Saccharomyces cerevisiae S288C: one gene and its partners. Changing the gene in region 1 together with any one later gene gives a genetic interaction. Each region holds a gene or a part of one and is shown in the gene's direction. Other genes may lie near its edges. The genes, in order: DYN3, FAB1 and RPL40B.

Region 1 (3,599 bases):
AGATTTAAGGAAAAAAGAAAAGTTATTATCTTTCTCCGCGGTTTTTCAATGACCCGATGTATTGACTCTTCCTGACCGAAAATAACAGGACAGAGTTAGAACGAACATGAATAATAAAATATAATCTGGGATCATGAATCCGAATGACTGCTCATGCGGCAAATGTCAGAGCTTCGGTGTATTTAAAGTTTGCTTACTTACAATTTCAATAATAGGTTTGTACTTTTCAGATTCTTATTATTAAGTCAAGGTAAAGTCCTTCGTTTTTTTTTTTTTCATTTTAGAAAAATTTCAACAGCCACCGTACAATTTTATTCACTTTTAAGTCATAGTTGCGAAGACATCGTCTTGAAAGTAGTAGATTTCGTTCTAATAAGTTTAGCAAAGAAAGAGGTACAGCAAACAGCAGAATAGAAAAAATGTGTGGTATTTTAGGTATTGTATTAGCAAACCAAACCACTCCAGTAGCTCCGGAGTTATGTGATGGATGCATTTTTCTACAACATCGTGGACAAGATGCAGCTGGTATAGCTACCTGTGGTTCTCGTGGTAGAATCTACCAATGTAAAGGTAATGGTATGGCTCGTGACGTATTTACCCAACAACGTGTTTCCGGTCTTGCTGGTTCCATGGGTATTGCCCACTTGAGATATCCTACAGCCGGGTCTTCGGCTAATTCAGAAGCGCAACCATTTTACGTCAATAGTCCTTACGGTATTAACTTGGCACATAACGGTAACTTGGTGAATACTGCATCATTGAAGAGATATATGGATGAAGACGTTCATAGACATATTAACACGGACAGTGATTCGGAGTTACTATTGAATATTTTTGCTGCTGAACTGGAAAAACATAACAAGTACAGAGTTAACAATGAAGATGTTTTCCACGCGTTAGAAGGTGTTTACCGTTTATGCCGTGGCGGTTATGCTTGCGTTGGTTTACTTGCCGGTTTTGCATTATTTGGTTTCAGAGATCCAAATGGTATTAGGCCATTATTGTTCGGTGAAAGAGAAAATCCGGACGGCACTAAGGACTATATGTTAGCTTCAGAAAGTGTTGTTTTCAAAGCTCACAACTTTACTAAATATCGTGACTTAAAGCCTGGCGAGGCAGTTATCATCCCTAAGAACTGTAGCAAAGGTGAACCTGAGTTCAAACAAGTGGTTCCTATTAACTCTTATAGACCTGATTTATTTGAATACGTATATTTCGCCAGACCGGACAGTGTCTTGGATGGAATATCAGTTTATCACACAAGATTGGCTATGGGTTCTAAATTAGCGGAAAATATTCTAAAGCAACTGAAGCCAGAAGATATTGATGTTGTTATTCCCGTCCCAGATACTGCAAGAACATGTGCACTAGAATGTGCTAATGTGTTAGGGAAGCCTTATAGAGAGGGCTTTGTTAAAAACAGATACGTGGGCAGGACATTTATCATGCCAAACCAGAGGGAAAGGGTTTCTTCAGTAAGGAGGAAGCTTAACCCTATGGAGTCTGAATTTAAGGGTAAGAAGGTTCTGATAGTGGATGATTCTATTGTCAGAGGTACTACTTCAAAAGAGATTGTTAACATGGCCAAGGAATCCGGTGCAACAAAGGTTTACTTCGCTTCAGCTGCCCCAGCCATTCGTTACAACCATATTTATGGTATTGACTTAACAGACACAAAGAACTTGATTGCTTATAACAGAACCGATGAAGAAGTGGCGGAAGTAATCGGTTGTGAAAGAGTCATTTACCAATCATTGGAAGATTTGATTGATTGTTGTAAAACTGATAAAATAACCAAATTCGAAGATGGTGTATTTACCGGAAATTATGTCACTGGTGTTGAAGACGGTTATATTCAAGAATTGGAAGAAAAACGTGAATCGATCGCAAATAATTCATCAGATATGAAGGCTGAAGTCGATATCGGATTATATAATTGTGCAGATTATTGATAGATTGTTCCGAACTTGTTCAGTTGTATGTAAAATAGTTTCCAAATGCGCCCATTTATACATAATTATCTTTGTATTCTGACCTAAACTAAATATATATATATATATGCACGTATTAAAAAAAAAAATAAAAGCAAAAAGGTAAACAAAGAGAAGTAATCCGCAACTTGTACAAAAAGAAAAGAAGATAAAAGAATTGTATGTATTAATGGATAATTGTAATGCCTGGGACAAATTATTGTCTCAGAATGAATCCACAATCAACAGCACAGAGACTGCTACGATAACAGCAATCATATATTCCCCATCAAGTAAAACACTGCATCAATTTATAAATATCTGTTTTCCAGAGGGAAGCAATTCAATACTGGATACCACTTTGATTAATTACGCCACCATAGGATGGACCAACGACTTAAAGGAAAATTATTCTGTCGATGTTTACACGCTAATAAGAAACACTGACGATGCACTAGATCTTCTAAAGCCGTTTTTACAAGAACATAGTTCGAAGGTTCGCTGGCTCATATTATTAGATTGGACACTGAACGACCAAAAGTTGTGGCTGAATGAACTATCCTACGCATTCAATAAAATTAAGCAACTGAATGACGATAATGAATTTTCTGTATGGTGCTTAAACAGTGGCGAAATATTAAACTTACAAAGACACACTACAGTATGGCAGTCAGTACATATTGACTTCATTTTGCAAACGTTAAGATCGTTTTGCTATTTTAATGATAGCTCACTATTCTATATATGCGAAGACCATACCGAAGAGAAACGAGAGGAAGCACAAAGGCTTAAATACCAAGAGCTTCTAAAGCATTTTTGTGAAGATAGAGATATGAAAGATCATATTGAAATGGTCAAACGCAGTGAGATATTAATACCGAAGGGGTGCGATTCTATTGGATTGATAAAAACAGTAGACGAAAGATTTGAGCCTACTGAGGTGAAAGAGCAACACTTTTTGGCCCGATATATGGACTTTATACCAACAATTGATAAAATCAGAGAAGATAGGAAAACAACCTCTGGTATCGACCTTGATAAACTATATCCTTTAGAAGTTTTCAAAGTTAATATTCAAGAGGAATTAGGCAAAATGTTCGCAAAATATAGGGAAAATTCGAGGATTTAGGAAAGTGGGCAGGCGATACTTCTTTTATCATGAGCAATTTTTTTCTCTTTATATGTATAAATATAGATATGCACACGCATTTATAAATCCCTATATCAGGGTTGGATTTCTTCTATGTTTATGTATGTAAAAGAAAGAATTCACATGTGATAAATTGTGGAATCAGCACATAGTTCTTGAACCAGCTCAGAGTCTGTGTCGTACCCGACATAAGCTACGTAGCCAGGTTCACCTTTATCTTCGTGAATTGGGTAGTGGACGGGTGGAACATTATCATTCTCGATGATACAGAACGAGAGATGTTCATCATTTGGTTCATAATCTCTAGTGATTCTCTTTACTATAGTTTTATATTCGCCTCTTTTGTCACAACTTGGCCCACCACGTGCCCAAAGCTTGATTACTGAGCCAGACTGGGGTTCTTTGATTGGGGTACAATGGAACCATTCATAGTTAATTCTTGTACCATACTTGAAGTATTCAACCGCAGCGATCAGCAA
Region 2 (3,760 bases), on another chromosome or scaffold:
TCAAGGTACGAGTTTTTGAAAATGGGTCTGTTGCCAGCACGAGAACAGATCGGTGTATGGGAGATGGAGTCACCCATATCCACGCCAGCGTGGCTCAGGTCAGAGTCGTTAGTGGTCCTGTATTGCATATTGTGGATAGTATTCTGGAAATCCATGGGTCCGCTACTCCTACGTTCGGCTCCCGGGGCGTGCTCCCCGATACTGCTTTCGCGTTCCCGGGCTTGTTCCCTGGAATTTAGTGCGTCCATATAATTGGTAGACCGCCGTCTAATCATGGGGACTGGCTTGTCTACGCTTTGAGCGGGAGCGCTTGGACCCGGGAGGTTGAATGTAGAAACACTAGGTGTTTCCTGTGCACAGGGCGGTTCGTCGATGTTGAGGAAGTCCTGTGATCTTTCAAATGTGGGTGACGTGCTCACTTGGGGCGTGTTCAAGTGGGGATCTGTCATGAGGGTGAGTGTATGCGTGTGTGTGTGTGTTGCGTAGATGTGTGATTTACTATGTGTTATGTAGCTGCTCTCATCGCTGCTGATAGTAGATCTCTCGCGCAAAAATTACTCAGGCAAACCTTTACTATACCTACATATATATATATATATATGTATATGTATGTGTGCAAGCTTTTCAGAGTGGTGCACTGACATTGACCGGGCCACTCATTCCACCCCACATCCCCCAGATCAGGGGGAGATGTTAACGAAAGGAAACAGGGGATTTATCACTGGTTACGGGAGCGTAGTGACTGTACTACAAATTCGCACACAAGCAGCGCCCAGTGACGAGTCTCCGCGGCGTCTAAGTGCCGGAAGTCATCATCCACGGTGTGCCATGTACTTGGGAATGGTAGCGGGATTGCATGTAATACGGGTACTCCGGCGGCCAGGAATGGCGTGTGGTCGTCTCCGATGACCGAATGCCCGAGCCCTAAAAATCGATAGTCCGTGGGGTCCAGATGTTTGCGTTGACGCGCGACTTCGGCGGCTAATGCCGATTCGCCGTTGATTTCATCTCCACGTCGAAATAACAAGTCATCCTCTATTCGATTGAGCAGCTGATATTCTTGATGTGTCTCTGCATAGTAGCTGGGCACTAGCGGCTCCTCTTCGCCACTTCCTAAAAGATCCAGAAGAAATAATAGGCGAATTCTTGTCATCGTGCCGTCAGCAAGCCATTGGGCGGCTAATCGGCGTGCTCCATAAATCGAGTCCTCGGGGCCCCACTCTTCAATGGCCTCCTCTCCATCAAAGAATACGATCTTTACACCCAAGGTAGAATTCGATACTACAGTGTTCGACTCTAAGTCATTGTACTCTTTCGTGCGCTCGTGGCACGCGATGTGCGTTAGGAACTGGGCCGTATATAGCAGCGCGGCACACGAGGCGGCACTGTCGATAGCGCCCACCATCCCCGTGGGCGCTATCTTGGTATCATAATGAGCAGCGAGCACTAAGTACTCGCTCGCATTGTTTTGTAATGTCATAACAAGGTTATTGAAGCGGTAACCGTTCTCCTCAAAGGCTTGCGTCTCAACGGCCCATTCTCCCGCCAGCGTATTGTTGAAGTGCTCGATGATGAAGCGCTGGATCTCGCGCGAGCCTTCCGATCCGGGTACGCGCGTTCTGTTAAAAGGCAACAGCAGGTTCTTGGTACTTTTGTTCCAACCGCTGTCTGGGTTGATAGCTTCGTTCAGATGCGCTGCATGGTACTGCTCATATGACAACTCCCACCCAGTTACCCTATGCACCTGAAATAGCACCAACAGGTACGCTAGACCAATTAGTCGCAAAGGCAATACGTACTTCATTCCCATGCTTACGACCTTTTCAGTCTTTTTATTTCTTTTCTGTTGACTCTCTCTAACTCTCCCTCTCCCCCTCTTCTTCCCATGAAATGTATCACAAGCCGTCTTATTCCTTTGCTTCTTATATTCTTATGTTCCTTCCTTCGTCTCGCCTCGAAGGCAACGCAAACGCAATGTACTTCTTGACGAACGCGAAAACCATATGGAAAGTAAATAAAGGGCCAAACAAAAAACTATTTCGAATAGCAAGGTAGCTTCCATCCTGTACATGCAAGACCGTCACACAGCATGTCATCGGAAGAACCCCATGCATCTATATCCTTTCCAGATGGCTCACATGTCCGGTCGTCCTCCACTGGTACTTCATCTGTGAACACAATCGATGCTACCTTATCCAGACCGAACTATATTAAGAAACCGTCCCTGCACATTATGTCGACATCTACGACGTCGACTACGACGGATCTAGTGACAAACCCAATTCTGAGCAATATCTCCGTGCCAAAAATAAGCCCCCCCACATCATCCTCGATAGCAACAGCGACATCAACAAGTCACGTGACCGGCACTGCGTCGCATTCGAACATTAAAGCTAATGCTAACACTAGTACCAGCGTGAATAAGAAAAATTTGCCGCCAACAACTAGTGGGAGGATACCCTCTAGCACCATCAAGAGATATCCGAGTCGCTATAAGCCTTCTCACTCGCTGCAGCTGCCCATTAAGAACGACTCCAACTTTAAACGATCTAGCATATATGCCTCCAAATCCACTGTTACTGCTATCCCCATTAGGAACAATCGGCCAATTTCCATGCAGAATTCCTATGCGCGCACTCCTGACAGCGATCATGACGACGTTGGCGATGAAGTGTCTTCGATAAAGAGTGCCTCTTCTTCGTTGACCGCATCCCTGTCCAAGAGTTTCCTGTTCGCATTTTATAACAACCGCAAGAAGGACAAGACCAGTAACAATGGTGTCCTCTCAAAGGAATATTGGATGAAGGACGAGAGTTCTAAAGAATGTTTCAGTTGTGGTAAAACGTTTAACACTTTCAGAAGGAAACACCACTGCAGGATATGCGGCCAAATTTTTTGCAGCAGTTGCACTCTCTTGATAGATGGTGATCGATTCGGCTGTCATGCCAAGATGCGAGTATGTTACAATTGTTATGAGCATGCAGACACATACGAGGACTCCAGTGATGAAGAGAATGATTCTACAATGCAATTGAATGAGCCAAGGTCTCGCTCTCGCTCTCGTTCTTCCAATACCAATCCATATTCTCATTCACATTCGCATTTGCATCTCATTTCACAGGACAACCATAACGGTACCGATCTCCATGATCCAGTAGCAGCAACGGATAACCCTCAACAGCAGAATGAGGTCTACCTATTAAATGACGATGACGTACAAAGTATAATGACCTCAGGTGAAGATTCTAAATTGTTCATTTCTACACCCCCACCACCACCGAAGATGGCCATCCCAGCAACAAAGCAAGGCGGATCGCTGGAAATCTCATTCGATTCGGAAAACGATAGGGCTTTGCATTATCAAGATGACAACCCCGGTCGCCATCATCACCTCGATTCCGTGCCCACAAGGTACACTATCAGAGATATGGACAATATATCACATTACGATACCAACTCTAATTCCACTTTGAGGCCACATTATAACACCAATAACAGCACTATTACCATCAACAACCTCAACAACACTACTTCCAACAACAGCAACTATAACAATACCAATAGCAACAGCAACATCAATAATCCTGCGCATTCCTTAAGAAGGTCTATTTTCCATTATGTAAGCAGCAATAGTGTTAACAAGGACAGTAACAATAGCTCTGCAACACCCGCTTCGTCTGCACAGTCTTCTTCCATACTGGATCCTGCCAATCGTATTATCGGGAATTATGCTCATAGAAATTACAAGTTTAAATTCAAC
Region 3 (3,411 bases), on another chromosome or scaffold:
ATTCTTCTTTTACAGCGTTCAATTGTGATTCTAAAAGGTCCACTAAACGTTGCTTTAGGGACATTTCTGCAGAAAATTCTTGCTTTTCGGAATTTAGGGAGTCGGATAGACCCTTGATTTCCAGTAGTTTTTCTTGTAAAGATTTTGACAATTCGTTATTTTTTTGCTTCAAAACATCATTATTCGTTCTTTCCATTTGAAAATCATTCCTTAAACGATTTAATTCATTCCTGATATCTAGAATTACTTTGTCGGTTTTTTGTCTGTAGGAGAGATACTGTTCATTTTTTGAACGTAGCTCCTTTTCTAGCCAATCATTATTTGACTGCAATAAAGTCAATTCTTGTGTTTTTCTTTCCAGTTCAGTTCTAGAATTCAGGTCATTAGTAATATAGCCCTGTTGTTTTGTTTCTAAATCCATTATTGTAGAGCGTAGTTTCTTACATTCACTATTGGAGCGATTATTCTCAACCCTGACCAATTCTATTTCTTTTAGTCTTTCATCCAGTATTTTCAGGGTTCGCTGTTGATTACTCTGGGTTTCCTTTTTCTCCTCAGTTAAATCATCGAGCTTCCTTTTCACAAACTCTAGCTCACTTGATAATTTCATCTTTTCATTTTCTACAGATTCGAACTTAACAAAAGTATCATTCCTCTCTTTTCGGATTTTATCATTTTCTCTTATAACGTTTTCCATTTCTGTCTTCAAACCATCAATTTTCTTTAAAGAACTAGCCTTCAATTCATCGAATGAGACGGTAACCTTTAGATTCTCCGATTTAAGTTCATTAAACTGTAAAAGTTTATCGTTAAGGTGTTTTACCACATCACCGTCAAATGATTTAACCTGCTCTAAAGAGCAACCGAAAAAAGACGCAATGGCGTTCAATCTTTCGTCTGAATTTTCACCATTTTGTATGCTTTCCATTGGAGTATCATGATCCGACATTATCCTAAAACGTGGCGTTACTGACTATTTGTGTAGCTTCGGCGAGTATCAGTTAAGTCCTAGTCAGCACAAGAGATGGAAAAATAGACAGGCAGCAATATATCTATCAGTAAATATTGTAAATGGAGCGTATCTCTCCGGCGCCGTAAGACTCAATGGACCACTTTTATTGATATCTCTGTCTGTATTCAATTTGCCTTCCAGTTTTCTTTTCCCATATACTCTTGTTGTCATGTCAAGAGGAATGAAAGGAAACAAAGATGGGAAGAGCGCGTTACCCCGCGCGTCGATCATCATATTATAAAGAAGACTTAAGTTATTATTTTTGTCAGTAATATTCACCCTGATATAATGTTAGTAAGAAGTAAATTTTATTATTCCATATAGAATCTATGGAAGGTTGACCCATCCCTCAATTTTTTCTTGAGAGTAGAAAAGCTTTCTGCGATATGTGGAGAGATATAAAAAATGCTGGTTCAGTTCAAATAGAGAGAGAAATTTTTAAATTCTTGCATAGGGATACTTGAATTCATTGCTTGAGATATTAACGCGTTAGGTTGTGTTCTTCAATGATGGGCAATGCAATTTGGCGTTAAGCGCCTGAGCAATAAGGTAACAGCGAAATTTATGACATATTATTTCGAACCTTTTACAAACTAGTAGATTTAGTGATTTATTACCTATTGGCATTCATTTGTGTTCTATATGTGGATGAGGATAGCCGCCTTTCTTCTCATCGGAGGCCATATCATCTTTCGACAATCCTTTTTAAATACTATTTCCATCCGTGCCTCTAATAGATTTGTGTAGTTGTCTGGGTGCAATCTTTCCATTTTTGCTGAACTTTTTTTTTTTTTTCATGTTTTTCAGATTCTGAAGTACCGCAATAGGATATGGCGGATAATCCGCCATATGATCCGCCTCATACTAGCCATTACCCATCTATCCCAGGCATTATGGGTATGCAACTCATAATCTCAAATACACAAATAAGAGCAACCTTATATATCACTTTTTCCCGTTCAGCAAGAGGTAAAGCCACCAAAGGTTCAAAATGCAAATGTATGTTACGGCGAATACAGAATACTATGTTCGAAATAATATGAGGATTATACGATAGCAAAAAAGCCATAAACGAAAGACATAAATGGAAAATGATTGACAAGCTCACAATTTATTAAACAAGTAGCAATTGAGAAAAACTATTACCTGCGGCAAGCTTCTGAGTTTACATTAAATCTGTAGAGCAAATTGAAAATGTCGCATATGTGCTGAAGGGTTTGTTTGTTCCATCTTATTTTGCATAACATAGTTATATTTACTTGGTCGCATAAAAAATATTTTTTACTAACGTGAAGTTTCTTTCTTTATGATGTACGCACGCACGTCTGTGCTTACTCCATAAATGAACTTATTCCAATTTTGTACAGCTTCGTTAAGACTTTGACTGGTAAGACCATCACTTTGGAAGTTGAATCTTCTGACACCATTGACAATGTCAAGTCCAAGATCCAAGACAAGGAAGGTATCCCACCTGACCAACAAAGATTGATCTTTGCTGGTAAGCAATTGGAAGACGGTAGAACTCTATCTGACTACAACATCCAAAAGGAATCCACTTTACATTTGGTCTTGAGATTAAGAGGTGGTATCATTGAACCATCTTTGAAAGCCTTGGCTTCCAAATACAACTGTGACAAATCTGTTTGTCGTAAATGTTACGCCAGATTACCACCAAGAGCTACCAACTGTAGAAAGAGAAAGTGTGGTCACACCAACCAATTGCGTCCAAAGAAGAAGTTGAAATAATCGATTTATTACGATCTCCACAAATCCAAAGTTTGTATACATCACGATTTTTTTACTACATATATATTTCCTTTTCTATTCTATTTGTAAATGGGAGGAAATCTTAATATGGACCTCTCTTCACAAATTGTTCTATAATACAATATATATCAAGATATAATAACAAGTCATTTGAGATAATGGTATGCAAATACGCGAAATAAGAGTAAACGGATACAGTGAGCCTGAAGAGGACAAGCTGCTTCCATGTTGTAGTGTTTAGATATATGAGCTTAAAATTTAGATTTACTGAATATTATACAATAGTAATTATACATAAAGAAATTCCATTTTATCTGTTCGATAGCAATGGAAGAGGAGAGAGTTCTGTGAAACAAATAACAGCAGCACAGAAAACTCCCGTCAACGTAATATGGTTAAAAAAAAAAAAAAAAAAAAGACAGTAAGTTAATTAAACGCACTAATATTTGGTGGTGGATCTTAGACTTTCCATTGGTTCTAATATTTCAATATCGTTAGCTTTAGGTGCGGAAATTGGATTGAGATCAAATTCGTCTTCTTCTTCGTAGTCCATAGCGTTCATTTCTTCCTCTGTATCATTATACTTCCTGAAGCACAACCAGAACAAACAACCAGAAATAAAGCAGGCAACA

What was found.
Region 2: mutations in DYN3 (region 1) and FAB1 together harm fitness more than expected from each alone (negative genetic interaction), as found in Saccharomyces cerevisiae (2 studies listed by BioGRID).
Region 3: mutations in DYN3 (region 1) and RPL40B together harm fitness more than expected from each alone (negative genetic interaction), as found in Saccharomyces cerevisiae (3 studies listed by BioGRID).

What each region holds. Positions count from the first base shown.
Region 1 is NC_001145.3:863,912-867,510, reverse strand, and holds DYN3 (dynein light intermediate chain), read left to right. Parts: upstream 1-2,160; coding exon 2,161-3,099; downstream 3,100-3,599. Other genes in the region: ADE4 (amidophosphoribosyltransferase), read left to right, coding at 420-1,952; sphingosine N-acyltransferase subunit LIP1, read right to left, coding at 3,240-3,599. UniProt on the Saccharomyces cerevisiae protein: Component of the cytoplasmic dynein which acts as a motor for the intracellular retrograde motility of vesicles and organelles along microtubules. May play an important role in the proper orientation of the mitotic spindle into the budding daughter cell yeast.
Region 2 is NC_001138.5:182,413-186,172, forward strand, and holds the start of FAB1 (1-phosphatidylinositol-3-phosphate 5-kinase), read left to right. Parts: upstream 1-2,089; coding exon 2,090-3,760. Other genes in the region: IGD1 (Igd1p), read right to left, coding at 1-449; YFR018C (uncharacterized protein), read right to left, coding at 719-1,810. UniProt on the Saccharomyces cerevisiae protein: The PI(3,5)P2 regulatory complex regulates both the synthesis and turnover of phosphatidylinositol 3,5-bisphosphate (PtdIns(3,5)P2).
Region 3 is NC_001143.9:617,343-620,753, reverse strand, and holds RPL40B (ubiquitin-60S ribosomal protein eL40 RPL40B fusion protein), read left to right. Parts: upstream 1-2,003; coding exon 2,004-2,011; intron 2,012-2,379; coding exon 2,380-2,758; downstream 2,759-3,411. Other genes in the region: MLP1 (Mlp1p), read right to left, coding at 1-949; PTR2 (Ptr2p), read right to left, coding at 3,219-3,411.